Linked DNA regions of Drosophila melanogaster. The protein of the gene in region 4 purifies or fractionates together with the protein of the main gene of each other region. This does not show direct contact. Each region holds a gene or a part of one and is shown on either strand. Other genes may lie near its edges.

The links.
Region 1: the proteins of CG1603 (region 4) and CG10494 purify together in Drosophila melanogaster (affinity purification with mass spectrometry, with the first as the bait; one large-scale study listed by BioGRID). This does not show direct contact.
Region 2: the proteins of CG1603 (region 4) and CG1513 purify together in Drosophila melanogaster (affinity purification with mass spectrometry, with the first as the bait; one large-scale study listed by BioGRID). This does not show direct contact.
Region 3: the proteins of CG1603 (region 4) and Sk2 purify together in Drosophila melanogaster (affinity purification with mass spectrometry, with the first as the bait; one large-scale study listed by BioGRID). This does not show direct contact.

What each region holds. Positions count from the first base shown.
Region 1 is NT_033778.4:21,514,988-21,521,799, reverse strand, and holds CG10494 (uncharacterized protein), read left to right. Parts: upstream 1-2,674; 5' UTR 2,675-2,794; coding exon 2,795-2,870; exon of another isoform or gene 2,871-2,874; intron 2,875-2,929; coding exon 2,930-3,343; intron 3,344-3,402; coding exon 3,403-3,819; intron 3,820-3,878; coding exon 3,879-4,543; 3' UTR 4,544-4,645; downstream 4,646-6,812. Other genes in the region: CG30289 (uncharacterized protein), read left to right, coding at 1-183, 398-622, 681-1,189; CG30288 (uncharacterized protein), read left to right, coding at 1,431-1,656, 1,719-1,761, 1,819-1,985, 2,053-2,465; MESK2 (misexpression suppressor of KSR 2), read right to left, coding at 5,467-5,912.
Region 2 is NT_033778.4:9,886,988-9,894,617, reverse strand, and holds the start of CG1513 (uncharacterized protein), read left to right. Parts: upstream 1-2,928; 5' UTR 2,929-3,215; coding exon 3,216-3,383; intron 3,384-3,476; exon of another isoform or gene 3,477-3,538; coding exon of another isoform or gene 3,539-3,873; intron 3,874-3,931; coding exon of another isoform or gene 3,932-4,178; intron 4,179-4,237; coding exon of another isoform or gene 4,238-4,331; intron 4,332-4,457; coding exon of another isoform or gene 4,458-4,566; intron 4,567-4,622; coding exon of another isoform or gene 4,623-4,638; exon of another isoform or gene 4,639-4,740; intron 4,741-4,882; coding exon 4,883-5,011; intron 5,012-5,132; exon of another isoform or gene 5,133-5,493; coding exon 5,494-5,730; exon of another isoform or gene 5,731-5,803; coding exon 5,804-5,881; exon of another isoform or gene 5,882-5,896; coding exon of another isoform or gene 5,897-6,868; exon of another isoform or gene 6,869-6,970; intron 6,971-7,208; coding exon 7,209-7,452; intron 7,453-7,563; coding exon 7,564-7,630. Other genes in the region: tea (telomere ends associated), read right to left, coding at 1-670, 738-776, 829-1,662, 1,716-2,030, 2,085-2,509; CG30008 (uncharacterized protein), read right to left, coding at 3,539-3,873, 3,932-4,178, 4,238-4,331, 4,458-4,566, 4,623-4,638; CG12923 (uncharacterized protein), read right to left, coding at 5,897-6,868.
Region 3 is NT_037436.4:3,042,408-3,050,659, forward strand, and holds Sk2 (sphingosine kinase 2), read left to right. Parts: upstream 1-4,679; 5' UTR 4,680-4,782; coding exon 4,783-5,759; intron 5,760-6,238; coding exon 6,239-7,247; 3' UTR 7,248-7,752; downstream 7,753-8,252. Other genes in the region: Prx4 (peroxiredoxin 4), read left to right, coding at 645-798, 865-982, 1,034-1,439, 1,498-1,548; scramb2 (scramblase 2), read right to left, coding at 2,439-2,462, 2,566-2,724, 3,316-3,809, 4,230-4,344; CG32485 (uncharacterized protein), read left to right, coding at 8,132-8,252.
Region 4 is NT_033778.4:7,512,351-7,519,639, forward strand, and holds CG1603 (uncharacterized protein), read right to left. Parts: upstream 4,041-7,289; 5' UTR 3,915-4,040; coding exon 3,618-3,914; intron 3,557-3,617; coding exon 3,293-3,556; intron 3,233-3,292; coding exon 2,870-3,232; intron 2,814-2,869; coding exon 1,977-2,813; 3' UTR 1,496-1,976; downstream 1-1,495. Other genes in the region: az2, read right to left, coding at 1-345; CG1602 (uncharacterized protein), read right to left, coding at 4,664-5,617, 5,675-6,028, 6,085-6,510; PIG-G (phosphatidylinositol glycan anchor biosynthesis class G), read left to right, coding at 7,024-7,187, 7,251-7,289. UniProt on the Drosophila melanogaster protein: Chromatin-binding protein involved in the organization of active promoters and insulators. Essential for the activity of heterochromatin promoters; primarily binds to specific motifs within promoters of housekeeping genes.

The DNA.
Region 1 (6,812 bases), about 14 Mb from region 4:
TATGCCTATTTATTGCCAACAATAACGTAATGTCGCGCCTGCTGGTTGAGAATTGTGGAATATCAAAGGACGATCCATACGTTCCGAACATTTTTGGAGGAGCCAAAACAAATATTCAAGAAAATCCTTGGATGGTGTTGGTTTGGTCGAGTAAGCCCTGCGGCGGCTCTCTTATTGCACGGCGTATGTATTTGACTAAAACATTGGTTATTCTTTATTTACTCTATACTAATATATTAATATATTTATATTTATTTAGATTTATAATATAGTTCATAGTCCACGATATATATATCTTAACTTACATGTACCCAAAAACTGAAAAGCATATGAATAAATAATCGAGATAGTCGACTATTTTATTATTTTTTTATTATTTATTTATTTTTCTTTTAAGAATTCGTCCTGACAGCAGCGCACTGCGTATCCTTTGAAGATCTGTATGTGCGCTTGGGTGATTACGAAACACTAGATCCCATGCCATACTGCCTTAACAATCACTGTATACCAAAGTTCTACAACATTAGTGTGGATATGAAAATTGTTCACGAAAATTATAATGGCATCACTCTCCAGAATGATATAGCATTGCTTCGTATGTCCGAAGCTGTGGAGTACTCAGGTAAATAGAGGGGTTTTATCTCACGTGGATGACTAAAGCTTTATGTTTTTCGTTATAGATTATGTTAGGCCAATTTGCCTTCTTGTCGGCGAGCAAATGCAAAGCATTCCAATGTTTACGGTTACCGGCTGGGGTGAAACAGAATATGGTCAATTCAGTCGGATCCTACTGAATGCCACTCTATATAACATGGATATATCATACTGTAACATTAAGTTCAACAAACAGGCTGATCGATCGCAGATATGTGCTGGCAGTCATACCAGTAACACCTGTAAGGGCGATTCTGGAGGCCCATTGAGCTCGAAATTTCATTATGGCAACAGGCTTCTGAGTTTCCAGTACGGCTTGGTCAGCTACGGATCCGAAAGGTGCGCGGCTAATGTGGCAGGTGTTTACACCAATGTATCGTACCACAGGGAATGGATATTTAATAAAATGGTTCAATTCAAACCTACAGGTCATACTACCTTTTGGTTATCCAAGCTCGTAGGCCAAACTTGTAACATAACAGACATAATAAGGAATATAGAACTAATGTATAACAGAATTGTATATGAAAATTAATTAATATTCGACAAAATGGCAGGGCAACGCATCGAAGTTCGAAATATATTAAAGTTCAAGAGATTTAATTAAAAAAAAAAAATCTTGTCATTAATTGAAAATAAACGATGTCACATTCAAATCGATTGTAAAAATTGTATTAGTATTTTTTCTGAATAAATCACTTCTTATCTCTGCCGTTTGCCGAAGAACAAGCATAAAAATAGAAACCGATGCCATTCGAATTTAGTCTCTGAACAAGATGCGTCTACCTATACGGCAGCTTGTGATAGTAGCCTGTCTTTTTATTGGGATTATCCGGACGGAATCCGGACGCTTACTGGAAAACGACTGTGGAACCACGAGCAGTAATGGTTATAGAGCGCGAATCGATGGAGGTAGAGATGCTGGCATGGAATCGAATCCCTGGATGGTCAGAGTAATGATTTCGGGAAAAGCAGTGTGTGGCGGTTCACTTATAACTGCTCGTAAGTATTTGGAATTGATAATAAGAAATATATACTCAAATTATCATTGTATGTTCATTTAGGATTTGTTTTGACCGCCGAGCATTGCATTTCCCCAATGTATATGTGAGTGCATACCATACTATTACTACACATTTGATCCTCAAAATGACCTTTTTTAAGGAATGTGCGCCTGGGCGAATACGATACCCGACATCCCATATTCGACTGCGATGATTTTGTCTGCACACCAAGGGCCTACAATGTGGACGTGGATAGGAAAATTGTTCATAGTAATCCAGGATATGATATTGGTCTGTTGCGAATGCAAAGGAGTGTGATATTCTCAAGTAAGTGCATTTCGCTATCAAAAGTTTCTTGGGAACTAAATATGTAACTAACTAAAGTTCGCCATAGACTATGTCAGACCAATCTGCTTGATTCTGGGCAAAACGTTGGGTGGGAACCCACTCTCAATATTACGCTTCAATTTCACCGGATGGGGTACAAATAGTGATGGAGAAGAGCAAGATAGGCTACAGACTGCCACCCTGCAACAATTACCTCAATGGAGTTGTGAAAGACCTGGAAGACCTCTCGATATATCCTATATATGTGCCGGCAGTTATATCAGTGATTCGTGCAAAGGCGATTCGGGAGGTCCTTTGAGCGCAATTCGTACATTTGAGGGGCAGGGAAGGGTCTTCCAGTTCGGTGTCGCTAGCCAAGGACTTCGGTTGTGCAGTGGCTTGGGAATTTACACCAATGTCACACACTTTACGGACTGGATATTGGATGTTATTCAAAACCATTCAGACGACTTTGAATGAGATCAAAATATGTTGCTTAATAACAATATAATGTTTTAGCGTATATATTTTGGCTATCAATATCATAGTTTCTTGTTGGTTTTGGTTTTTTTTTTCAGATTGTAGGCTATTTCTACATTTAACATACATATTCCTTACATGAAACATACATTCGAGCAGAATGTATGGTACGGCCGCATCGATGCCGATAACGATAGGTAGCTTAACGCGTCCTACTATCGATGACAGTTTTGTTATTGTTATGATTTGATCAAGCTAAAAAAAAACCGATCAAATATAAATATATATTTATTGATTTCATTGCGCGATTTAAGCATAACCATTTGAAAATGAGCAAGTTCTCGCTCTTCAATGGCAACGATGAGGACGAGCACGAAACGGAGCAGAAATACGCACACCTTATGAGTGGGTAAGCAGCGTCCTCAGCCGGTTCGATGTTACCAAATCCTTACTTTTCGTAACAGATCTGGGAAATGCGAGTCACTCGGTGTCGGAAAATAGTTCTGGGAAAGCGAGTCGCTGCAAGTGGACCAGCGCAAAGGTGGAGACCTTTCTGGAAATCATTCACCAACTTAAACTGCAAGCTGCTCTTCGAAGGCCGCGAAGCAATGCAAAGGTGTTTCGTATGGTGTCCAGAGAAATGGCCCGGCGGAACTGCCCCAAGAGTCCAAAGCATCTGAGAGTCAAGTTCCATCAGATGCGGCGTCAGTATGCGAGAGCTCGGAATGGCGGCGAACCATTCGAGCACTTTGAGGCGGTGCACGAGTTGATGCAGGGAGAAGATGTATCTGATCTGGATGAAGAGGCGCTAGAGAGTGACAGCGATATGGAGGCCGACGAGGACCAGTCCGGCATGATCTCAGAAACCGAAGGGGACGGTAGGTGCCACCGGGCAGGAATGTATTGGAATACGAACTTAGGCGACTTTCCTTCGCAGATGCTTTGGATGCCTCAGGATCTTCAGTTAACATCGTCGCCCGCTGCAAGTGGGCAGAGGGCGAAGTGGACCTCCTCCTAGACCTGATCCACACACTTGGACTGCGAGCAGCTTTGCTGCAAAAGCGCAATGCCAAGGTCTTCAAGCTGCTGTCCAAGGAGATGGCAAAACGCAACTGCCACAAGGGTGCTGAGAAGCTGCGCATCAAGTTCCAGCAGCTGCGGCGATTGTACAACAAGGTCAAGAACGGCACGGGGAAAACGTTCGAGCATTTTGAGGCGATGCGACTGGTCCTGGATCCCACCGAAGAGGAGGCGGCCGCAGATGCTGAAGCGGAAGCCCATCTGAGCAGCGCAAGCGATAGTGATTTCAATGACAGTGACGAGGAAGAGGGTGATGCATCACAGAGAAGCGGAGGTAGATATTATAATAGCTAGTTCCTATTCCATATTTAATTAAATTCCTATGTTCCTTAGCGCACTTTTGGACAGACGAAGAGGTTGATTCGTTTCTACTCATCATTCGGGACAATGGTTTCTTTCGCGCCTTGGATGGCTCAAGGAAGCGCAACTTCCAGACCCTGGTGCACATTTCCAACATCCTGGCTAAGCAGGACATCAAACGCACGCCACACCAGCTGCGCAATAAACTAAGGCTGCTCTGCAAGCGTCATCGAGAGGCCAAGGAGCACGGGCTAGATAATGTACGCATTCTGCCTCGCCACTTTGAGCTTTTCGATGAACTGATTCAGGCGCCGCGGGAGAACAGAGAAAGTGCCATCAGCAGGCTCATTCGCATCAGCAAGCCTTCCTTTCTCAAGCCGCCAGGCAAACCAAGCGTTCCGCTGGAAAGTGACAGCGACAACTCCAGCTCCACCTGCGATCTCCTAAGAGCGGCAGCCGATAGCGAGGACTACGTGGACGCCATCGAGATGGAGGCTGAACCAACGCCGATTGAAGCACTCACTGCAATCATAGAAGGTCAAAAGCAGCTGCTTGCGCAGATCAAAACTACCAACGAAAGCTTCTTGCGGCAGCAACGCGAGCAGCAGCATCAATTTTTGGAACAAGTATCGGAACTGATGCATCGAGATCGAGAGGAGACCCTGCGCAGGATCAGCGAAATGCTGCAACCGAAGTAATGGAAACATAGAACTCAAGCTTCTAAAACTTTTATTGAATTGAATTCGAAGTTATTGCAAAAAGTTGTCATTATTTATATATATTATATGTATGTATTCTATATTCAATATCGTGTGTGTGTGTGTATCCTGTTTTTGTGACAGTGTCCTGTGTCTAGAATTTATTCCTCATTCATTGTGAACAGAATGTTGGTTTGAAGTTACTCGCAATTCGCAATTGTCTACGATTTATCTAGGGTTTTGTATAAGTATATACGTAATTTTGAGAGATTTTTCGTTTTTTATTTGATATGCTACATTGTTATTTTTTGGGATTAAGTTAACAGTTGGATTCGTTTTAGGTTTTAACATTAAGCGAAAATGCTCGTTAGTTTTTAGTTTTTGTTCTGCTTGTGTCATCTGTATACACATATGTATATATTTTGTATATTGTTCGGTTTACAACAACTAAGCAAGCTCGTCATAAAATATGTGTTGCACTCCAAAAAAAAAAACAATGTAATCAATTGGGCATAGAAAACTAAACTGCTGTTGCTGATCTGAACCGATCTGGCTTGATATATATACGTGTATGTTCGTTACGTTACGCTCAGGCACAAAGTGTAAATTACAAATATCTCTCCGCATCTCGAAAACCATAGGGAAACACAATCAATCAATCAACCAATCAATCAATCAATCAATCAATGGGTTCTCATTTGGTGGTTAATTATTGCATTCGCATTCATTTCCTAGCGGTGTGTGAGTTGCTTGTATTTCATAATATTTTTTATTCTTTGAGTTTCTGTGGCTTTGTGTCTCTTGGAGCACGGCTGAAAGCTTGGCTTGACTTGGCTGCTGCTGCTGCATTATTTTTTCTCAGTGTGTGGTAACAACAATAACAAGGTGTCTTTTGGAGATTATGTGGACTCTGCAGTAACAATCTAAGAGCTGACCGGCTCGGGCAGTGGGTTCTCTGTGATGCGTATCTTGTTGCTCTGGGTGCCGTAGTAAAGCGTGCCCGATGTGTCCGTGGTCACGTAGGCTCGGTTGCCATTACCGGTTCCTGTTCCGTTGCCGCCGGCACATCCGTTTCCGTTCTCCAGATCCTGGTCGTCCCCGTCGACGCTGCGACCATCCGCATTATTATTGTCCCCCTGGCCGGCGGTGGTGTTGGAGTTGCTGCTGGTGCAATTGATGGCCGTCTCCCGAAGGCGATTGCCAACGCGAAGGCTCAGCTGCCGCTGGCGATCCCGCTCCCTTTCCCGCTCACGATCGCGCTCCTCCATCGCCTGCTGCTGCTGCTCCCGGAAGTTGGCAAAGAAGATGGAGGAGTAGGTGTGGTATTTAGTTCCACAGGGCGAACTCGCTGGCGTGGACAGCGGCGTTGCTGTTGCAGTTTTATAAGTGGAGTTGTTGTTGTTTTGGGGGGAAGGTAGTAGTAGTTTGGCTTTTGTTATTTACGTTATGTCACTTGATAACATGTAAGTTGTTGGTTCTTGTTCTTGATGGGTGTTTTTCTTTATACACTTTCTAAAAGGCTTGCCTGCTGTTTTTGAAATGTATGTACGTGTGGTGATGTCTGTACGTTTGCAAAAGGCTGCGATTAAAATAAATAAAATTCTTAGATTTGCTTGACTCTCTTAACTCTTAAAATTCGAATGGAAGTTAAGGCTTTATGTCCATTGTAAAGATAACTATGTAGTATTCAATAATCTCATCATTGATTATGGTTACAATTTACATCGTTTAATTCAGTCTTTATATTGTTTAATAAGGCTAAGTTCACTTGAAACTATCTTTAGTTAGCTGAAGCTATAAAAACAGCTTACAACACATGAATCTAAATAATTTACCTCTATCCTTATTTTAATCGCAGCTGCAAGTGTATCTGTATCTGTATCTGAATGTAATGTGTATGGTGTGCATTTTGCATGATTCGAGATGAAAGCGGCGACAATCTGCTGCTGCTGTTGTTCTATTATCGTTATAATTAATAAATTTTATTATTATTGTTGTTTGTTGTTGTTGTTGTTCTAGTTGATGGACGAGATGGAGGGGAAGGGAAGGAAGCTGGGCTGAGATTTCGCGATGGTCGATGAGCGGATCGATGCGATGCGATGCGATGCGATGAGCTCCCTTTGCTGGGATTGAATTGGATGTGGCTGCTGTGACGACGATGCTGCTGCTGTGGGAAAGAGACGCGACTCCCAGTGGCCAGAGGACCATCAACACCAGATATATTCATATCTCGGAGGAGTATATCACTCTGGCCGCACCGTTACAGTTC
Region 2 (7,630 bases), 2.4 Mb from region 4:
TTCTGTGGTACAAGCCACCTGGCAATTTGGATTCTTTGGGGGTAGCTCCTTGTTTTTCGGTGGAAAACTTAACAATTGTCTTATTTTTTTGCTGGGACACGGTTTAAATCGGCACTCGAACTTCTCCCTCATGTCTGGTCCAGAATAGAAGCCCTCGTAGTAGTCCTGAATTACCTCCTCCTTGCTTTTTTCTTTGTACTCATCGCATTTTTGCATCTCATTAACAATATCATCGAGATTGCTCACATGACGTTTGAACATCTCTAAAGAAATGGGATTTGGTGGACAATTTTCTGTTGTTGTTTTAGGAGTGAAAGGTACCTGGGACTTGGATTCGTTTACTGCTTTTGCATTATCTGTTCGATTCATTGTAAAAAGAGCCTTTTCATCAAGTGGCTTAGCTTTTTGTTTTAGCTTAGCCAGCATCTTAGGATTGGGGCAATTGAATTTGTACTTGAATCTTTGACGAACATCATTGCGTGCATAAAATTTATTGTAAAACTGGCGGAAAAATTTTTTGCATTGTGGGTGCGAAGGATCAGAAATTAATTTTGACAGTTGATGTTCGTCTTTAATGTGATTATTTACTAGAATTGCTCGGATAATCTCGTCATAGTTAATATATTGCCGAAAAGTTTCAAGTGATACGGGAAAAATAAAGCGCCCATGTCTAAAAAATTTTTTTTGAAAATTGTTACTTAAAAATTTAAAAAAATGGTAATTTATATTTTTCTTACTTTTTAAGGTCCACTTCAACATCCGTCACAAAGGAAGTCCTAAAATTGTGGTTTTAAAATTATGAAAACAATTCAGGTTACGCTAACTTACTCATATACATCGGTAGAATCTGTGATCTCTTCAGGTTTGGCTGGGGTCTCGTCCGAAGCTCTGGTTTTTGAAGCAGGACTCTCTGGTGTCTTGGACATGGGCACTTCGAAACCTGACGGAGGAATCTCTAACTGGGGCGCTCTATCTGATTGTTCTTCGGCAACCTCCTTGCTCTGATGGGGTTTAACTTGGGGACTTAAGACTTCAGATGACTTCTCAGGGGCTTTCGAACTGTGCAGATGGCGTTCTGGCGAAGCTAATGCCGGCATACATCTGCTTAGTTTGTTGGCATCGTTCCTGAGATTAGCTTGGTTTTCGAAAGTTTCTAAAGTATTATGTGAACTCGATAGCCCTTCAGTCGTGCTAATAGCTCCCGCAGCACAATTCTCTGGCGAAAGAGTAGCTAACTGGGACAGACCTTCACTCGGTTCGTGGGCAACCTCCATGCTGGGACTGGTTTGGATTTGTGAAGAGCCACTGGTATTCTGCGACCCTAATGACCCTTTGCTCTCAGTAATATATGAAGTGTTGGGCCTGCGCGAATCAAGTCCTGGCGAGGGATTAGCTAACTGAGGGAGGCTTTTCCTAAGCTTTTCGGCAATATCTTTGCCGAGAATGGACAGCATGCAGGCCTTGAAAGTCGACGTGCAAGGTTTTAATTTGTATGCGTATTTATATCGGATCCTCGGAGTAATGTAAAACGCCAGGTAATAGTCAAGGGCACATTCCTGGACATCCTTGCTCGCATAATTAGCATCCAGTTGCCTCATTTGCTCCACAATGTCCGATAAGTTTGCCATATTTTTCTTAAATACCTCGAAGCTGACGATGGAACTGTGAAATATTTATAGTAAACAACGAGTATTTGGAAAGTGTCCCAAACTTACTTTTTCGTAAGGGATTTCATTGCAGTAAGCTCCGCCACAGTCTTGACCGCTTTTTTGTCCAGTGGTTTCCCAGATTCAAGCAACTTTTCCAAAGGGATTTCTGTAGTTGCATTGAAGATATTCGTAGGGGATCGCTTTTCTGGATACATGTAAAAGCGGTTGTAGAACCTTTGTAGTGTAAGAAGACGACGCTCATCGTCGGACAAGAGGACCAGGCAGTGTTCTATGCTCCTGACAATTTTTTTGAACAGTAACATCTTATTGATGCACTGTAGGAATACATCAAAGGATACCGGAAAGATGAAGGCGCCACATCTGAAATGAGTCAAAATTGGTTAATCTGCTCTGCTCGAAAATAATATTACCCACCTCTCCACATTAACAATTACGTCTGGAGATTCCGATCCTGATGGTTTACATTCAACTGCAACGCCTTCAACTGCATCATGGGACTTCGCGGTTTCAGCGAGCGTCGTCAACTGGCTGCCTTCAACTAAGACTTCGGGTTGCTCTACTTGAGATGGTCCTGCAGCTGCTACGTTTGCAACATCGTTTTGTGAAATTCCTCCTGGCTCCGGTACTTTAAGCAAGTTGTCGCGTGTCCGCCTGGGACACGGCGCCACCTTGACAGGGAACCTTGCCCGTATGCTGGGATTCCGGTAGAACTCTTTGTAGTACCATCTGCTCCACTCGACCAACGTTCTATTGTCTCCATTGGCAGTTTTCAACTCACTTGCAATTTCAGACAAATTAACGATTAACTTTTGAAATGCCGCAAAGGACACTGGATACATGTTGCTCCTGAAATCAAACAATATTTAATGTTAAGATGTAAAAGATTCACAGTAACCTTACGACTTGTTCTATGCAAGTAACGTTATTTGTTGTTTATCATAAACATCACATTTCAATACCGCGAAATAAACTAGGCTGAATATCACAGTGTGACTGTGCTGCAAAATGACAATATTTATCGATAGCGAACGACTAAATATTTTCACTACGAGAACTCGAACTTACTTAAAATTTTACAAGCCAGTTAATACTTTTGTGCTTTATTGTTTATTGTTTATTTATTTATTGTGCTGATTTAAACAGGGTTATAATTTCATAGCTAGCTAATTTTACATGTTATGATTTTCCAAATGACTCCAAATTTGTAAGGTGTGCTAGGTATAGTAGGTGGTATATTCCAGCGGTCGCCGCACGGTCACACTCGAGCTGCGATTCGGAGGGCTAGAAAATCATCGATGTTTACGTACATCGATAGTTGGCAGGGCTTTGCTTTGTTTTGCAAATTCCAAGCGGAGTTGAGGCTGTGACAGATTGCGGGTGCGAGTTGTGAAGCAACATTGCGTCATCATCAGCTCCTGGACAGAAAAGAGCTCAGGGAACGAGGCAGGTCCGCGCCCGGGGACAAGGAAAGCCTTTAGCCACGAGGACGCAGAGGGATCAAAGGCGGAGGAGGAGGCGGTGGCCGTGTCACGGGAGCTGGATCAAATGGCCAGCACCACTGGAAGTGCCCCCAGCCTGGGACCCCCCCAGAGCGGGAGTGGTGGCTCTGGCACATTGGAGGGCACGCTAAGCAAGTGGACGAATGTGATGAAGGGCTGGCAGTACCGCTTCTTCGTTCTGGACGAGAATGCTGGACTGCTGTCCTATTACACGGTGAGTGGCTGCAGTGCACCTCCTGACTGAAACCCATATCGCACCCAGAACGAACTCCTCATGGCCCGCAGCCTTATCTTATCTGCTATAGATACATTTGGATACACATACACACTTGTTGGTACCCCTTTATTGCGTGATTTGTTGACAGGAGATTACTTTTTTGAGTCTGACTGAGGGGTCTGACTCTTGCGCCGCTGCGAGGCTTGATAGGCACTATTATAGAAGTCGTAAAAGCCGTAGAACATGCCAAGAATGACGGTGGTGAAGTAGAGAAGCACTAAGGGCGGCATGCCGCACAATACCAGCTGGAAAGCAACCTGCGTGAGGATAAGAACGAACTGCGTCATCTGAATCACTGTGATGCACTTCTTCACTGGAGTTAGGGCCTGCACCAAGGTCTTATCCGCCACTGCCGCCACAAAGTAGTACGAGTACATGATAACGTGAACGATAGAATTCAAGAACACGCAGAAGTAAGCAGCAGAACCTGTACAATTGAACGCATTTATGAAAATAGTCGGTCACCCAGCAGCCGGCTAGCTTACCATTTTCGTTGAAGTTGATCAGTGCGTAGACCAGCGTTACCGTGGAGAAGTGATGAAAGATGTGCAGCTTGGACACCTGGTTTTGTTTCTTGCGAAGCACAAAGATCACGGTTTCAATCAGCTCAGAGATCTTCAGCCAGAAGAGAAAGTAGGCCAAGTTGTAGTACCGCCTCACGAGCTCTGGGCTGCTCCCGATGTCGCGGCACTTCCAAAAGATGTATATGGTGTTGTCCGTAATGTACAGGACCTGCGAGAGAAAAGCAATTAGCCGATGCTGCTGCTGCTGTACAATTTATAAATATCCACCTCTTTGATAGCATATATGCAGGAAACCACCTGGATGAAATTATGTAGCAAGATAAGTCGCTTGAGCTCGTAAGGTTTGCGCCATTCCATGAAACTATAAGCGAGGTATTAAAGGTCTTCTTTCTTATATAAGTAAGCCAGCGAACCCGCTGAATTGCTAATGTCAAGTCCACTGACCCACATGCAAACAAGCGACGCTGACATTAGCATGTGAACTTACTGCGGACCCGCTTTGGTGACGAAGTACAGATAGAGGACCAGCACTGTGATCATGTACCAGGGATCCTTATAAATCGTAGGAACGTTCACCACCGGCTGCAAATTTATACCTACAATTTTATTGAAACCATCAGACAGTTTTTTGACAAATCCAAGAGGAGCTCACTTGCTGACGCCTCCATTTCGCTTCTTTGTGTTGAGCTTCCGCTGGCCTGTATCCTTTAGGTGGCGTGGGACTGGTGGACTGCAGCTCTACCGCCTTGACCGCTGGCGAACATTTAAGCGTGAACAGCACGCCGAACACTGTTTTTATATTCCCCAAGCATTGATTAGAATACATTAATTTATAGCAGGCGTAATAGCCCTTTGACAGTATGAGCTGCGATTTAATGAACTTTCCTAATTCCGACTGCATTTCTGTTACAGTCGAAGGATAAGATGATAAAGGGCGTGAGGCGCGGTTGTGTTCGTTTAAAGGATGCGCTAATCGGAATCGACGACCAGGAGGACAACACATTCACAATCACTGTGGACCATAAGACCTTCCACTTTCAGGTAAGTGTCTCCTTAGTAAATGGAAATAAAGATTGTCTAAGGAAAGCTTGATCAATGTTTTGCAGTTTCACTAATAGTTCATAATTCACCGTAATAGTTTAAGTACGACGTTGTTTGTTTTATGAACTGAAGAACCAACTCATTTTAAATTCCACACTTGCATTGATTTTTTATGACGTCTAGTGGTATACGTAAGCAAAAACTATGTAGATCAAGAGGGCAGCACGTTTCTTTTTGCAATTCGCGTTTTCGTCCCAAAAGATATAAAGCAAGCATGATGGCCTATCCGCTTTGCTTGCCAAGAGTTTTCGTCCTCTTACCGGAAAAGGGTATCCGGGCATCGACCCAGAAACCACTGTCTGGTCCTCACGTTCCACCTTTTGTTTGACTTTGTTGCCTTGATGTAACGATAAAACTTTTTCCAATACCCATACACAAGCAAAGGAGCCCACTAAACTTGCCAACTTTCCAAACGCTTGCAGGCGCGACACAACGAGGAGCGGGAGCAGTGGGTGCGCCGCCTGGAGGACACCATTCGACGCCACGCGAACCGGTCGCGTCTGTGGGACAGCCAAAGCGCTTTCTACATCGCCGGTGGCTACACGAAGGAAGGGGGCGGGAGCGGAACAGGCGGCAGAAGACCCAACCACCTGGAGTTGGTGGCGCGCCGTGTTTCCGAGGCAGATGCCTACCTCCAGCTGATGATTGAGCAAACGAACGTGAGTATTGTGCCACGTAATGCAGGCATTATGCAATTTATTGTCATTTTTTCTTGTTCTCTGTCCTGCCCAGTTACTGGACAAACGCATCGCGGAGCTGACCGATCCGGCGGAGCAGTCTAAGTGCAAGGCACTCCAGGACAACGCAAATGTAAGTAAGCAGAGGTTACACGTTTCCCTCGGACTCAGTAACTACAACCTCCAGGTGGAGTTCGTCACGAAAGTTGTTTGAGAGTTTCTCCACTTCGGCGTACGTCAGACGCCAGTAACTTTCGTCGACTGCCATGTAATAGTCCGCGTCCCGGTTATTATTAACCTTTCGAACACCTAAAACACAGCTGGTTCTTAGTGCAACATCTCTTCCATAGAGACTGAGCGTAACGTTCAACTGCAGTCCGTCGCTGGGTGTAACCAGCCAGAGGACGAACTCACTGTTTCTGTGGCTATCTGGTGAACGCCTATTCCGCAGAGCCGTATTGGGCAATGTCTGGGAAATTAGCACCACCAACGGGATGTGACTATCCAGGTGCGAGTGTTGGTTCAGCGGGAAGCTGTTATAGGGCTCACATTGCCGCTGGGATATCAATAACTGTTGTGCATTGTAAGCCAGGAGTCCCAACACCTGATTATCAGGATTCTTACAGCTCGTCGGCTTAAAAGAAAGCACAGCCCGTTCATGTTTCACTACGGGAAGAAAGCGCTGAAAGGAAGCTTCCTTGTTCTCATGATCACATAGGTAGTGCAGCAAAAGCAACTGGCTGTCTATTCGCCTTTGGCAGCCCTCAAAGAGACATTTTTTTACCTCGGACTTTATCAAGAGCTTGTTGGGTATGGTATCTTCGTCCTTCAAAGGGACTTGTCCTTCATCTGGAGGAGCAGCCTCAATGGTACCGAACATCGACTGAGACATTAGCTTTCCCTGATGCAGCTGAACCTTCTGCTGGTCATCCAGCTGTTGCATTCCAATGCGAAGTGTTTCCATATTTTCGTTGAGCTCCTTGATATCCGCTTTCAAATTGAACATGGTGTTCACCTTGTTCTTCAGCTCCAAGTGCGCTTCCTCACGCTTCTTTTTATACTCTTCGAATTGGTCGCACAACTTGTCGGCGCTGTGGATCTTTGGGTCCAGAAACTCCATTGCGGATTAGCTCTAATTGTAGCCTTTAAACCTTAAATGTAATTCGATTTCCTTGAAATGCTGGGAATTTAGAGAATTCGGATACGGGATTGTGTGTTTTTGTTTTCCCAGTGAAGTTTTTGGTTGGAATCGTATATCCAGGCCCACTGGGCCACCCACTCATATCGATTTCCAATGCAAGTTCAGGGTTAAGAGGCGGCCAGATGCAAAAGCCTGAGAGAATGTCAATCGACCGGCAGCTGTCCACCCATGGCAGCTGCTCACTTCGTCTGCAAACTTTGGCAAAGCCAAACCACTTTTTTCACCACTCCCGTTGGCTAATACGTAGTTCTCATTTCAGGCCATGCTGGATCACATTAAGCACTCGATTGTCAGCCTGCAGATTGCCAAAAACATGGCCCACCCAATAAATGGAATCTACAACGGTCCACCGGCCACGGCCTCCACTAGTTCCTCAACCAGTGGAGTTGCCATGGGCAGTTGTAACAACGTCCAGGCAGGTGGCCTTAAGGTGCCGCTAGAAGGTCAAGTAATAGGCAAGGGTGAGCTGGTGGACGACGAGGAAGACTCGGCCACTGAGAACGGTGAGTGCTCTTGGCCAAGCAACTGGTCATCGAGCCAGGGTCAAGCGGTTCGAAATCAATGCGAAAGCTCAATTTGCATTACCCCCGATAATCTGGCATTAATCTTGGCAGCCACCACCGCTCCTTTGGGTTTAATTGTGCCAGCGACCTCATACTCGAGCAGCGAGGGCGAGGAGGA
Region 3 (8,252 bases), on a different chromosome or scaffold from region 4:
ATTTGTTATTAAAACAAAAAGAGTTAATTATAGCGCTTAAAAGGTAACAGCTGTGCGTTTGCATTGTTGCTTAATGCAAGCAAGTTAACTACCCTGCAACTAAAAATAAATATTCAAATCGGAGCTAGGCAATCGCATTGGCATTGGAATTTTAGTAGTTTTGTAAACTATATTTGTTTAAATCGGTTACACGCTGACAACTATAAATTATAATAGCAGTGAAGTGAATGAAATTGATAAGCTTATCTTTTCGGAAGCGCAGCAACAATAAGCGCGTTCCACCAAAATCAATTGAAGTTCTGCCCGTTGAAATAGTTACTTTTTTGACTGCGTGGCTACAAGTTGTGGGCGTGTTCGAATTTTGGGTATGTGCGTACAGTAGAGACTGGCTGACACGGACGGAACAAGGATTTAGTACATAGAAGGAGTATCTTTTCTTTGAAGTTTAGTTTTGTTCCTAATTAACATTCAAAATTATATATCTTTACATAATTTACAAAATTAAAGATAGTTGGGCGACCACTGTACACAGATTTATTATAAATATAAAGAGCGGCAATAATTGTAAAGGCCGCGTGTAATAAATAGCGTATAAACCGAATCCAATAGCCATATACGTACGTGGATCTCGTTTCAGCCCAATCATGTCCAAGTACTTATCTGTCCTACTGCTGTCCGCGGCACTCGTTGGAGCTGCCAAGCCGGAAGATAATGAATCGTGCTATTCCTTCGCCGGCGGCTCCGTTTATCCCGACCAGCCGAAGGGCGACCATCAGCTGCAGTACACCAAGGCAGTCAGTGAGTTCCATTGGATGCAAAAAACCAGGGATCACTATTAAGTTGCTGCTACCCTTATTTCCCCAGTTTCCAAGCCAGCTCCGCAGTTCGAGGGCACCGCCGTGGTTAATAAGGAGATTGTGAAGCTATCATTGTCCCAGTATCTAGGGAAATATGTGGTGCTACTCTTCTACCCACTGGACTTGTAAGTTTACATTTACATTTAGTATGATCGCATTTCTCATTGCCATTTTAGCACCTTTGTATGCCCAACGGAGATCATTGCCTTCTCCGACCGCATCGCCGAGTTCAAGAAGATCAAGACCGAGGTGATTGGCGTCAGCGTGGACTCGCACTTCACCCACTTGGCCTGGATAAACACGCCGCGCAAGGAGGGCGGCCTGGGCGACGTGAAGATCCCACTGCTCTCCGATCTAACGCATAAGATCAGCAAGGACTACGGAGTCTACTTGGAGTCCAGCGGTCATGCGCTGCGCGGTCTCTTCATTATCGATCAGACCGGAGTGCTGCGACAGATCACCATGAATGATTTGCCCGTGGGACGCTCTGTGGACGAGACTATTCGTCTGGTTCAGGCCTTCCAGTATACGGACACCCATGGAGAGGTTTGCCCAGCAGGTTGGCGGCCAGGTGCCGATACGGTAGGTTTTTTGAAGCATTGCCTTAGGTAAATTCTTTTTGATACCATTACCTTTACAGATCGTTCCCAATCCTGAGGAGAAGACGAAGTACTTTGCCAAGAACAACTAGGGACAGATAGAGATGCACATTACCTTAGTAGCCTAGCCCAGTTACATTCCTAATGTTCACGACTGAATCACGATGCAAACGAACAATCGCTAGAGTCCTCTGTACAGAAAATCCAAATCCGCAATGCCACCGATTGTGAATATTTCGCATTTGCTTTGTACAAAACATAGTTTGTTTATTTTACAGCATAACTGAGATATAAATAAATTCATGAAGTACATGTGAAGGTGATGAAAATTGCGCGGCGCCACAGGAGCGGTACCAAAAAGGAGGAGATGTTTTCGATCTCAAAATGCCTTGAAAGCTGGCTCACTAGGCCACTCTAATGGGTAACAATTCGATTGCAATTAGTTTCATACAAAAATATATGTAATATGTAATATGTAGTAGGTAAAAGGTAATAGTAAATTAGTTAGGTACGCCATGGTTGCAATTAAGTTATCCTGTGCTCCGACCTATGCGTACAACAAAGCTAGGTCTGTCGAGGTATATAAATCTGGGGAAACGGGACGGGGGCGACGACAATAACTAGGACGTCATAAGGCACTCGTTCTCGTCGGATTCTTCGTGTGTAGTCTGCTTTCTGTTTTCCGTTTTGTGCGTTTGTCAGTAAGTGCTTCATTGTGGTGAGCTTTAAATGCCAAAACCGAGGTTCATAAAATAACGAAGGTGCAACTGCGGTTCAGATCCAAGTTGTGCGGGAGATTCCTTTGCTGCGGAGATTCCGTATCGATCAAAGCGTTGCACTGTTCAGATTCCCGGAAACGTTAATCAAATAAGGGGTTAAAAAGTTCTTAGAGCTATGACCATGCAACACGTCGAACCAAAAAGCAGTCGGCGATTATAATGTTTGGGCGTTTGTTCCTTTAGAATGCGATTCATCATACAGCCTACTGCTCGTAGTAAACCGCGTCCTGGAATTAAGACAAACACAAATCAATGAAGGGAAACGAGTATATAGCACTGGCATATGCTTTATTTCACTCAGTGATATATATGATATACTGATATACTCACAATCAAAAAGAGCGCTGCGAATATGAGCGCCTTCATGCGGACATCCAGATTCAGGGGGAAGGTGACGCTGAAGTAGTCCGCATCGGTGAACAGCTCCCTTCCCAGTCCGGACCATTGTTTGCTGATTTTGCCGATCTCCTCGTTGTTGGCGCTCAATACCTGTGCGCGGTTAAAGGGGCGAGAGATGTTTGCGTTTCGCATTAATCGGTTCGCAGTTCGCGGCATCGCAATTAATTGACTCGCTCTGGACAGTCAGGCATGGCTAACCATGACGTCACTGCCTCGGACTGCAGTCTCTTTGCTTCTGTACGATCACAGCAGCGGTCAGTAAAAGGGCTCATAGATCGGCACAAACACTTGGTGCATTTTAGCCATAAAAAGTATAAATTGATTGATTGATTTTCCTATATCTAGAGGCATCTGTTAAATAACGTATACAATTGAAAATTTAAAACTAGTGTGGGTGCTATTAATTTGAACGCTTCTGTCTGTTCATAATTATTTAGAATATATGTATATAGGCACTTATAAATGTTTAATAATTAAAAAAGCAATTAAGTGGACGCCTGATACTGTTCATTTTGGAATTTTATAAAGCTTCGTCTTTGACTGATGAAGACCATACATATGTACTCCTCCGAAGAATTTAAAGCTAATCCGCTGACCGCTGCTGTGTGTGTATACACTTGTTTGGGCATTGGGAATCGAGATCGAGAGCCAAGAATAACCACTTGTTGGCTGCGTACTGACCTTGAAGTTGGTATCGCTGAAGCACTTGCAGGGACAGACGGGTCCCTCGATCTGCAGGACGGTATCGCCGCATGTGTTCTTGATGTTGAACTTGGGCCGCATGAAGGTGCAGACCTGCTCAACGCTACCGATCACCTGGCCGGGTGGCGCCGACACCTCCACGGCGTTCATGCAGCTGGGAAAGCAGCAGAGGATGTCGCACTTGAAGGGCCGGTACAGGTGGAGCACCTCGTTCTGAAAATTGTCCAGTATCTTCATCTCGAAGGGGCGCGACCGGCCGAGCATGTTGCGGGTGCAGCAGTCGCTCTCCTCGTACGCGAAGTACACATTCTGGCCCAGTGAGTTCTTCACCTTGAAGCGGTTCTTCGTCTCGAAGCCGGTGAGCAGCTCCAGTTTCTCGATCTTCTGCGACACGAGCAACTGGTCCAGAGCGGTCAGGTATTCCAGTCCCTGCGGGCAGTTGGGCATGCCCACGGGTATCGACATCCAGTTTTCTGCAATGGGGCGTTGTTCCGGATTAGCTCCCTATGTATTTATATTTATCTATATGCATAAAGTGCTTTTCCGATATCTATGCATGGGTAAAGGAAATTAGCATAGCTACAATGGCGGTCAGGCGATTAGGGCCAGTGATAGCAGTTCTTAACATAAACTAATATTTTAAACAATATGTATTTACGTATTGACTTGGAATCACTTCACTTTTTGGTACATTATAAAATATCTTTTTTACATAGATAACTATGGGTGCTATTGCCATGCCCGCTGCTGTACTAAATGCCAAGAAAGAGACGACGGCATTTCCGCCTTTCGCACACGCCCACTAGCCCACACAGACGCGCGCAACCGACTAGGTCCATCCGAGTGATGGAATTCAACAGTGGACAAATCCATATATGTCCATCGCTACGCACCAGGTCCGTTGGCATTGTTGCCAACATTCGCCGCCTGCGGCTGCAGGACCACTGCGCCATTCTCGTCCTGCGGTGCATTCTGCGGGAGCACCTTGTACTCGCTCATCTGCATCATTGTTATTCCCAGCAATTAAATTCGTATCGGATTCTTTAACAGTTCACAAAACACTAAATGCAGGGTGACCGCGTTGCGAACGCCGAAAAATGCAACGCAAATGCACCGTACGAAATATTCTGTCATATATTTTGGTATTTATTCGAACACAGAAAAATATCAACAAAAAGCTTTCAGCACTCAATGCAGTGACAAGTTAAATTTGTTATGAGCTGACGTTTTTGTGGATTCATTTGTATTATTGCATTGTATTGCAATAGTTTCCTTAAGCTAGCCTCTTTAAGTTCTAAGAATTTTGAGTTTATTTGTGCCAGTTGGTATATTCGCGCCTGCCACCGACGGTAACACTGCGGCTATGATTGGATGATAAGCGATCCATAAAAGCCTGGACACAAAAGACCTGAAACATGCTGCTTGGCAGCCGAATCTCCAGTCGAAATGAGCGAATCTCTTGATAAGACCACCAGCCCGAGCTCGGCCAGTTCCAGGGCCACGCCCCCGGGAACGCAGGATGCGGATGAGGGCCACGACGTGAGCGATACCTTCTACACGAGCCAGCGCAAGAAGGGCAGCCACGTATTTCGGGTGCGCCTTGACGCCACAGGATTCACCCTGCAGCGGGAGTCGCCGGGCGGTAGCATTGTTAAGGAGCAACATGTCCGCATATCGGACATTGTGGGTGCCCGCTGCATGCGGCCCAAGAAGAGCCGGCGCCTGGCGATGTCGGGCGCCTGTGCGTGCAGCTCCGGTAATCCCAATTCGCCAGCCATCTCGGCGTCCGGCGATCACCATCGCCCTGCCACCACACCAAGCAAATGCAGCACCAATAGTCGGGATAATATTCCTTCGGATGGCGGCGATGTCAGCGCGTTTCTCTACGTTTTTGCCTATGTTCTGAAGAAGAGGAGCCTGCGGTCGGAGTTGCACCGGGAGCGAACGGTGCTCACTCTGCGCTTCCGGTCGTTCGACACCTTCGAGGACAACATGAGGGAGGCGGATCGTTGGTACAGATCCCTTCGCTGGCAGTTGCATCGCACGCTGGAGGAGATCTTTGTGGCGCCGACGGTGGATGAGCGACGCCGTCGAGTGCTTGTGCTGTTGAATCCCAAATCCGGTTCCGGTGACGCTCGTGAGGTCTTCAACATGCACGTGACGCCGGTGCTCAACGAGGCCGAGGTGCCCTACGACCTGTATGTAACCAAGCATTCCAACTTTGCCATCGAGTTCTTGAGCACCAGGTGCCTGGACGCCTGGTGCTGCGTGGTGGCTGTCGGCGGAGACGGTCTCTTCCACGAGATAGTCAATGGACTGCTGCAGCGCCAGGACTGGGCCCACGTCCTGCCTCATCTGGCACTGGGAATCATTCCTTGCGGCTCCGGAAATGGATTGGCCCGCTCCATTGCCCATTGTTACAAGTATGTTATCTTTGTTTCATGTTTCATTAGGAAAAACCCCCTTTTGACTTATGTGGATCTTCATATTTCGTGTAAAACAATCCCTCCAGCGTCTAGCCATGCAGTTTATCATTAGATTACATTCATAAGCAAAAGTAGTTTTCTTATCGTGTCAAATGGTTTTGTTGTTTTGCAAGTGGGGATATCCCCTTAAAGTTAAATTGACGTCAGACTAGAACAAACTTTCCACATCGTTAAGTAATTGCCCCCCAATTTCGTTCAACATTTAGTGGCATATCATCGAACTTTGAAATCTTTATGTTCTTTCTTTATGTTCATCTATAGCTCAACTTCCCGATAAAAGAGTATAAAAAGGGTAATAGAAAAGAATGTTTATAGACTTTAAAACCACATTCAGGTGTCTCATATCCGATCTATTGGTCGTAATCCGATTATCAGTCTTGTGTTGAAACCTATTCACTTGAAACCTTTCTCCCCAGCGAACCATACTTCAGCAAGCCAGTGCTAGGAGCTGCTCTGACCGTAATCAGTGGACGCAGTTCACCCATGGACGTGGTCCGGGTGCAGCTGCAGAGTCGCTCCCTCTACTCCTTCCTGTCCATCGGCTGGGGTCTGATCTCGGACGTGGACATCGAGAGCGAGCGCATTCGCATGTTGGGCTACCAGCGCTTCACCGTGTGGACCCTCTACCGTCTGGTGAATCTGCGCACCTACAACGGCCGAATCAGCTATCTTCTGACGGACCATGAGGTGTCCTCAACCCATAGCGCTACCGGTTATGCTGCCCAGCGGAGAATGCAGAGCAGCCGTAGCTGCAACACGCACATCGACATGCTAAATGGGCCGGCGCCCATCTATCATTCCAGTGCCGAGTACCTGCCACAGGAGTTTGCGGACGTGATCTCCCTGGAGACGTCCATCAATCAGTCGTTCCGCTCGAGGTGCGACAGCTGGTTGTCGGGGGGATCGCGGCGCAGCTTTTACTATTCCATATCGGAGAGCATCTACCACAGTCTGGCGGATGAGAGCGAGTTCGCCGGCCTGGCGGCCGCCTCGCTGGAAAACCGGCAGCAGAACTACGGTCCGGCAAGCGAGCTGCCGGATCTGAACGAACCGCTGTCCGAGGATCAGGGTTGGCTGGTGGAGGAGGGCGAGTTCGTCATGATGCACGCCGTTTACCAGACCCATCTGGGCATCGACTGTCATTTTGCGCCCAAGGCCCAGCTGAACGACGGCACCATCTACCTGATCCTCATACGCGCCGGCATCAGCCGCCCGCACCTGCTGAGCTTCCTCTACAACATGAGCTCCGGCACTCACCTGCCGGAGTCGCACGACGACCATGTGAAGGTGCTGCCAGTGCGAGCATTCCGCCTGGAGCCCTACGACAATCACGGCATCATCACGGTCGACGGCGAGCGCGTCGAGTTCGGGCCCCTCCAAGCTGAGGTCCTGCCGGGCATAGCCCGCGTCATGGTGCCCAAGTAGGAGGAGCTTACTGAAGACCATCAAGCAATAGAAATCTCAATTTTGGAATCTCTGCATTTGTAGCTAATACTTAGGGTCCCAGGTGGCCGATATGAGAGAGTTGTGCATTCTACATATTTCGTGTTTTTGTGGCCTGCTTCTGCCAACCAATCATGTATTGTTAACATTTTAAACACAATAACAGCTATTTCCGAAATATCTAACATGTTTGTTTATAAAACGTGTGCCATATGAAGTGCACGTGAATTTATTTTTATCTCGGCTGTTCAAAATAGCGATGAAAGTCTTATTTATTTTGTTCTTTTTTTTTTTAAACTGTGTAACGAAATGAGATATATATTCAAAATGTTTAAAGATGAATACAAATAAATCTTCATGAATTCAAAAATCTTAGAAAGTAACAGTGTAAGTAACAGAGCTAAATCATTTACAATTCCATATTTTAAAGTAGGAAGTTAAGAATATAACATCTTTGAGCTTGAAATAAAAAATAAAAATGTTAACTAATTTCAGCTCTGTTTCAATTTGTTTTCTTCTCTTTACTATATAGTTTAAAATATTTTTCAAAATTTATTATCAATTAAAGCTTTTATTAAAATGTAACGGTTCCAACCAATAACGGTAATTTTTCGGTATTTCGTGCTTGCATTTAGTATTGTTGTGGAACGCAAATGACAGCTTTTAGAGAGTTTCAGCCGGTCACACTGGTCGAAAAAAAAGAAAAAAACAAATCCGTTCCGTTTGTGAAAAAACATTTCCGAGTAAAAATAAACAGCGCTGCTTGCATTTCACATAGTGTCAGCACATTCCGATTCCAGTCCGCGACTCTCCAGCACGGAATCCCAGTCTGCATTCCGGTCAGGAAGCGATTCGTGCTCTACAATATGTCGTCCGAGGAGCTGGCGCCAATTAACGAGCAGGACTTCAAGGATCTCAAGGAGCGCATGAAATTGATTGTGGAGGCGGATCCAAAGCAGTATCACAATGACTTTTCGCTGCGTCGCT
Region 4 (7,289 bases):
GTCTTCTTCCTCCTCCTCCTCCACCGGGCTGGTGCTCTCGTCGTTCTCTGATGAAGGTGGCACGTCAACGAACATGTCTTCAGCCAGGCAATTTTCCGGAGGCTCCTCCACTATGAACACCTTGGCTGGCGAGACCTCCTCCTCGCATTTGGCTGACGAAATGACTTCGGAAGTAGTGAGCTCTTGCTGCATGCTTGGATTTGCTTCCAGGTGCTCCTTGACGTGCACGATGAACTCTCGCCACCGCTTGAACTCCATCTCCACGTAGCAGTCATTTTGGTGAGCACACGCCAGAACAAAGTGCTCGAAGTTGTTCCTGGCCAAAATGTTCCCGCAAACCACCATGATTTGCTTACAAACAAATAAGATACAATGCCAAATAGCACAACAACAACGCCATTTATCGGTATCGATAAGCACCGGATGGTCAGTGTTGGGAAGATACCCGCGGAAATTCCATTGAAACGAAATCATCTCAATTTTAGAAAATATTTTATATGTAGACAAATAATTATATATACTATACAGCTTAAATTTAAATCTTGCTATAACATGAGTATTAGTTGTGTTAAATCAACTTTTAAATCAATTATAAATTTTTAAATATATTTTAAACTATTTCATTTTAAGCTGGAATAAAAACACTACTTTTAGTTGACTGATTCTGGTACTTATTCCCATTCGGAACAAGAGTCGAATTCCCCGACAATCAAATACTCCTTACTTAGCCAGTGGAAATACAAGTAGTTCATACGGACAGACGGACAGGGACAGACCGACTCGGCTATTGGTCCTTATCGAGAATATATATACTTAATATTGTCGGAAACGTTTCCTTCTGCATGTTACACACCTTTCATCGAATATATTGTAGTATACACTTTTTTTAAAGACACTAGAATATTAAGGTGCGTAACGGCCATTACATTGGTTTTCAACTATGCAGTTACTTTTTTGGTGACGGCCAAAATTGATCTCACTCCGCACGCGTAAAATGGAGAGCGTAAATTTCTTAAAATAGAATGTACTTCCTTGTGTGTGTTAAAACAACAAACGAGAAAGTGTATATGAGCATACTTGTGCTAGAAAACTTTCGTCTCGAAATCAATTTTGATCTCAGAAACGAAGGTACATACATACATATTTAAAGTTTTGGTCAAAGCTTGTTGCAATACGATCTACTACAGAGTTATTTAAAATTTAATGCCTTGACTATTCTTTTAAGAAGAGTTGTTATTAATTAAATACCGCTTATTTATTTTTGCTTATAATTAAAAATATTTAAAATTGCACTGACGACATACTTCAACAAGGGTCTATGAGCAGTATCTTGTACCGTATAAAAATTATTTTCATCATTATTTAAGCTAATAAACTAAATAAAGTCTTAAATCGTTATTATAACTATTGTAATTAAAAATATAAATTTGGCAAAAAGGAAAATACATTTAAAAAAATATATTTCATAAAAGAAATATAAATACATTGTTAAAAATGAATATATATAAAATTTTGTACACGTCATTTGATCAAAAATAATAATAATAGAGCTGCTAGCTCTAGAGCTCTCCGCTCTCTGACTTTTGAACAAAAACTCGGGAGAGCCTCAAGCCAGCTCTAGATCTAGAGCCAGAACCAAAAAATCATATGTTATTCTAATATCTCCTCTACAAGTAACGGTTATACAAATTTATCTTAAAACGAACTTATTTTTCCGGCTTCTTCTTTTTTTTATGAATAATACATTCCTTAAACCAAATTTTGAAAAGGAAAGTATGAAAAAGGAAAAGCTTGTGCATATGATTATCATACACATGTTCTTATCAAATACACAAAAGCCGTAAGTGCTTAACAACACGCTTGTTATTATCACTACTCTAACGTAAGTTTATTCTTGATTTACATCAAATGAAGCTTACTGATTCTCGTTATCAAAAAATAAAGCAGTTTCTAAAAATGTCCCTCAAGGCGAGAGTTCATTCCGATCTGTGGCTGCGGCGATGTCTGGAAAGCGAAGAATGGTCATAGAACGTAGCATCACAGTACTCGCACTTCTTATCACGGATATTCAGATGTCCTTTGATATGGTTGGCCAGCTCGAACTTCTTGCGGAAGGTTTTGGTGCACATATTGCAGCTGTAGGGTCTAATGTTCAGGTGAACTCCGTTGACGTGGTGGTCCAGGAGTAGCTTGAGCCGGAATGTCTTGCCGCAGATGTCACAGACGTGAGGCCGCTCGCCCGTGTGGATTAGTGTGTGCACCTTTAGGTCGGTATCCACGGCGAACGATTTTTCGCAGTACTGGCACTTCAACTTGCGTTCGAAGTGGGAACGCAGCTTGTGACGGTCCATGTCTACGTGGCGGTCGAAGCGCCTCGGGCAGAACGAGCAGAGGTACGGTAGGTCGCCCACCTCGTGCGCCTTGACGATGTGCACCCGTAGGTTGTAGTCGCCGTGGAAACGTTTATCGCAGTAGTCACAGTACAGCACCTGACTTTCGGAACCCTTGGCGGGCAAGAAGCTGCACATTTGCAGATACTGAACCTCTTGCTTGCTGCACTTCTGAATTAGTTCCTTGGATTTGAGGCGACGAATGGCATCGTAAAGCCAACGGCGCAGCTTGTTGACCGCAATGTAAACGTCCGTTTCGTTGGCCTTCACCACTGGCTGGAATTCCTTTGCCATTCTTTTGAAGGCATCTGCACGTATCTCTATTGAGCCAAAGTCTGGCAACGCTTGATTATACAGCACGGGATAGTTGGCATAGGTCTCTATGAATGAGGTGGTTATCAGGTTTTCCTCCTTAAAATTAAGCTGAAAAAAGGATTTTTGGTCAGAAAAGAGCTACATTATAGTGGGCTAGTTATTACCTTAATTGCAGTCAAGTCGTTGTCCTCCTCGTTCTCCCTTGGCGTTACAACAGGCGCCACACTGAGGAACTCGCACTTGGCAAAGTAACGCGCTGCAAGTCCAACAAGCTTTCCCCTTTGTTTTGTCTCCAAAGCCAGCGTGTACTGCACGTGCAGTTGCTCGAGCGTTTTCTTCAGTTCTTCCACGGTGAAGAGAACATTGGCCTTGCGGTCCATGCGTTCCATTATCGCCTCGTAGGCCATGCTTCGTGCAGGCTCGTCCTGGTAGTGTTCATCGGAAGGGTTCCACAGGCAGGGATGCTCTTTGTACGCTTGGATCAAATGCAGCACACGGGGATTGCTCCGAATAAACGAAACTTTGAACTGAATGACGCCGTTAAGTGGAATGAATTTCAGCTTAAGTGAAATATACTACGTACTAACCTTGAAAACCTGTCCTGGTCTTGTTCGCCTGGGCGGACGTCCAGGTTTTCTAGGAGGTGCCAAGTCATCCTCAGACATAAAGAAGTCACTACAATCAACATCATCATCGTCTGTGTTTAGGGGTATGTGATTTTGGGAAGACTCGTCCATTTGTGTGACTTCCTTTCCGGCTGGAAGTTCCAAAGAGCTGCCGCCTGGACCGAACTCCCAGGAATTGTTTGTAGCTGCAGACCAAGCGGTGGCGTCTTCCTCGTACTGGATATCCTGCGGTCAACGAGAGCTCACTTATTTGACCACCCTTGGTAAGCGAGTGAAAGAGTCTTACCTTGCTATCAGCTTCCATCCATTGATCGACCCCATTGCTGTTTTCGATCACCTCGAAGAACTCATCCGGCCCATAGGCGATGGCTGGGTCCGCCGCGTCAACGACGCTGTATAGCTCCTCGGTATCCTCTTTGATTTCATTAATCCTAACGTCCTCGTCTTCGCAGTAGTGCGCCGATTTCACATGGACGATGAACAGCTCCCAATCCTTCAGCTCGCTCTCTATGCTGCAGTAGAGGCATTTCAGCCGGAACATCTCGTACTTGGAGTTGGTCATCACATTGCCGCACAGCTCCATGCTTACGTTGTGCGCTCTGATCTGACTTCAGCTTGAAAAATGTTCCTTTTCTGAAAATATATTCGTTTATTTAAGGTAACAATTTTTTTATGCGTTTGGGACTGTGTTGGACAACGACTGAAATAATTATGTATCGATAGACTATTCGATAAAAATCTATTTTTAAAATAATATTTAAACACAATTTTATGAAGGCTTAAAAGAAAACGTTTTAACAACTGTTGGTGGTGCTTAAAAATGATTAAAAATCTGCATTTCATGAATGAATCTTTAAAGTAACTAGTACATTTCAATTTTCGAAAAAAAATGTTATAAAATTCTAGTACTAACCATTTGGAAAAATCAAAATCAATCAAGCTTATTTGTTGAGAAATTATATTTTTTTTGTCATATCGATAGAAAATAGCGAGACAAATATGAACAGGAAAACACCAAAACGTTTTTCAAATGTATGGGCGTTACAGTTGTCGGCGCCTTGTGGGCGTGCCAACATTTTGGAAAAAATAGCGCAGCGTAGGCAGGGGAATGTGTTTAGGCTTTTAGATGTACATCCCCAGATTTCGACAGATGGACATGGCCAGATAATGTAGAATTTATATTCTTAATTATTAATATACATTCTTAAACCGTTATATAAATAAATTTGTTTAAACATATTGTTTCACTCTCATTTGTGTATTTTTATTTCCCCCCATTTGCAAAAGATTGCCTATTTATAAACTGTCATTTTATTGCAAATTTAATCAAATTCAGTTCTCTGCATCCACAGCATCTTTACCCTTTTGTGAATTATTACGAAGAATGTTGTGGGTGCGCTTCATGTGCGTATTAAGACCCACAAACTGGGAGAACCTGGAGTCGCAGAGTTTGCACACAAACTTCTTCACCTCGGAGTGAATCTGCCGGTGTCGGATGAGTGCATGGCAGCTGGTGAATCCCTTACCGCACACACTGCAGATTTTGTCGCGGATGTTTAAATGGCCCTTGATGTGATCCGATAAGTCGACCTTTTTCACAAAGTCTTTGGGACACATGGTGCACTTGAAGGCTCTGATCTTCGTGTGAATAGCCGTGACGTGGAGCGTCATTTGGGACCGCAGTCGGAAGGCCTTGCCGCAATGCTCGCAGACGTAAGGCTTGTGGCCAGTGTGCGTACGGATGTGCAGCTGCAGGTCCGACATCACAGCGAATGAACGCTCACAATGGGTGCACTTGTGGGTCTTGCCGATATGGACCCGCTGTATGTGATTAGCCAGCTCGCAACGTCCCACAAAACTTCGGTCGCACAAGGTGCATTTGAAGGGCAGCTCGCCGATGTTGTGCGCCTTGAAGATGTGCGACTGCAGGACATGATCCGAGGACGTAATCTGGTGGCAAAATTCGCAGACCAGCCGCTGCTTGTACATCTTTGCAGGCATGAACCGACACACCTCTAGGTAGAACTTCTCGGCTGTACTTCCGGCATAAATGGCATGCTTAGTGTTCTTGTAGTACCATTGGCGGAGATTCTGGATGGCGCGGAATATGTCATCGCTGTTGATGTCCACATTGGGCACTGAGATTTCCGCAGCCATGCTCTCGTATGCCTGTTTTCGAGAGCTCATATTGGAGAACTCCTTGTGGTTGGAGTCGTATAGCTGCGGAAAGTTTGCGTACATCTCTATCAGGTCGGTAGTCAGCTTGTTTTTCTTGGAGAAATCAAGCTGCGGGCAAAGTATGCTTGTTAACAATTTCAATTTGAATTAATTCAAATATCTTGCCTTAATTTTTTCGTTATTCGTAGCCCCTTCTTCATCGTTGCTAGCGTTCAAGAAGCAACACAATTTGTATATACTGAAAGCCAGCGATTGAGGTTTCTGTTTTCCAGACACCACCCGCTTGTGCACGGTGTTGAACTGCATGTGGACTTTCTTGATGGCCAGCTTTAAGGCCATCTCGTTCAGGAATACGGATACAGTTGCCTCCAAGTCAATGGCCATACGCTTCAGGGCTTCTTTGCATTTCTTGGGTTCCTTGTAGTCGCTGTGAGCGGGATTCCAAAGGCACGGGTGTTCCTTGTAGATCTCTATGAACTTTATGGTTCGGTGATCTCGGCGAAAGAAGGATGGATGAAACTGAAGTTGAATGCTGAGATTAGTTTAGCGCGTTCATGAATGGCTTCTAGAAGTACCTTGTATGTGGGTGTGGTTTTTAAATTGGCATCATCAAGAGCTGGTTCACTTGGATCCTCGTCCTGGACGGATTCTTCTTCATCTGTAACCAAAGATACGTCCGACTCCTCAGTCTCGTTTGTCGACGAACGCACTGCGTCAATATGCAGCTGTACACAGGCTCCGTCCGCCGATTCGTCTTGCTGGAATATCGACTCTTCCGCTTGGGGTTTCTCCTCTGGAGGATCTACGTGCCCAGACTCCGTAGAATTTTCCCCCACTGGCTCGAAGTCGTCTTCCATGCTCCTTACTTTGCTATGCACGTTGCGGATGTGCAGCACAAACTCCTGCCACTGGGCCACCTCCACGTCCGTTGGACAGTAGGAGCAGCGCATCAGGAACTTCTCGTAGTCCCTGCTCACACAAATAAGGCCGCAAGTTTCCATTTTAAGTTAGAAATAACAATCAAAAGCGTTTGTTTATACATATCCGACTATGAGAGACCATGGGCGCATTCACAAATGGGCAAAAGGGTTCGACAGACGATATTAAATTCGTTTGTTTTATAAGTATCAAATTTAAAAAATTTCTTTTATATGTAAGATTTTAAATGTAAATTAAGATAAATTAAGTATAAAATAATATACACTTCGAGAAATGGCAAAACGTTAGTAATATTATGTAAATATTAATACTTTTTTTCCATAAAGCTAACAAATTTCCTCTCTTAACTCTTTCGTATCAATAGTTTTAAAATAAATATAAATTATACGTAAGACTTTAGCATTTATTAGTTTTATGTGCCTACGCCCCTGAAGTTTTGCTTGCCGTCTATCGATAGCATACAGCACTTATCGATTGTCTAGCCTTTATATTTGACTTCCAGCTGACGGGCGGCAATTATATTGAATTTGTTGTGGTTTTCGGTGGAGCGCGGTACTTTCGATGAAAACAAGAAGATGGAACAGCACAAAAGTTGGCTGGTCTATACCATCGGCATGCTCACGGCGTTCCTTTGCGGCGCCGTGCTCTTTCTGATTGGCTTCTTTCCGGCCTCCTACTCGGTGGCGGAGAAGGAAAGCACCGTGCCAGAGGGCCGGCCCACCGCTCTGCTTGGCATGGAGTGAGTTTATGAGCTGATAATTGCGTGAGATAGCGCCCCTATAATGCTCGTTACCCTTTACAGACTGACGCCGCCGCCACCTGCCTATGACTCCTTTGTGCT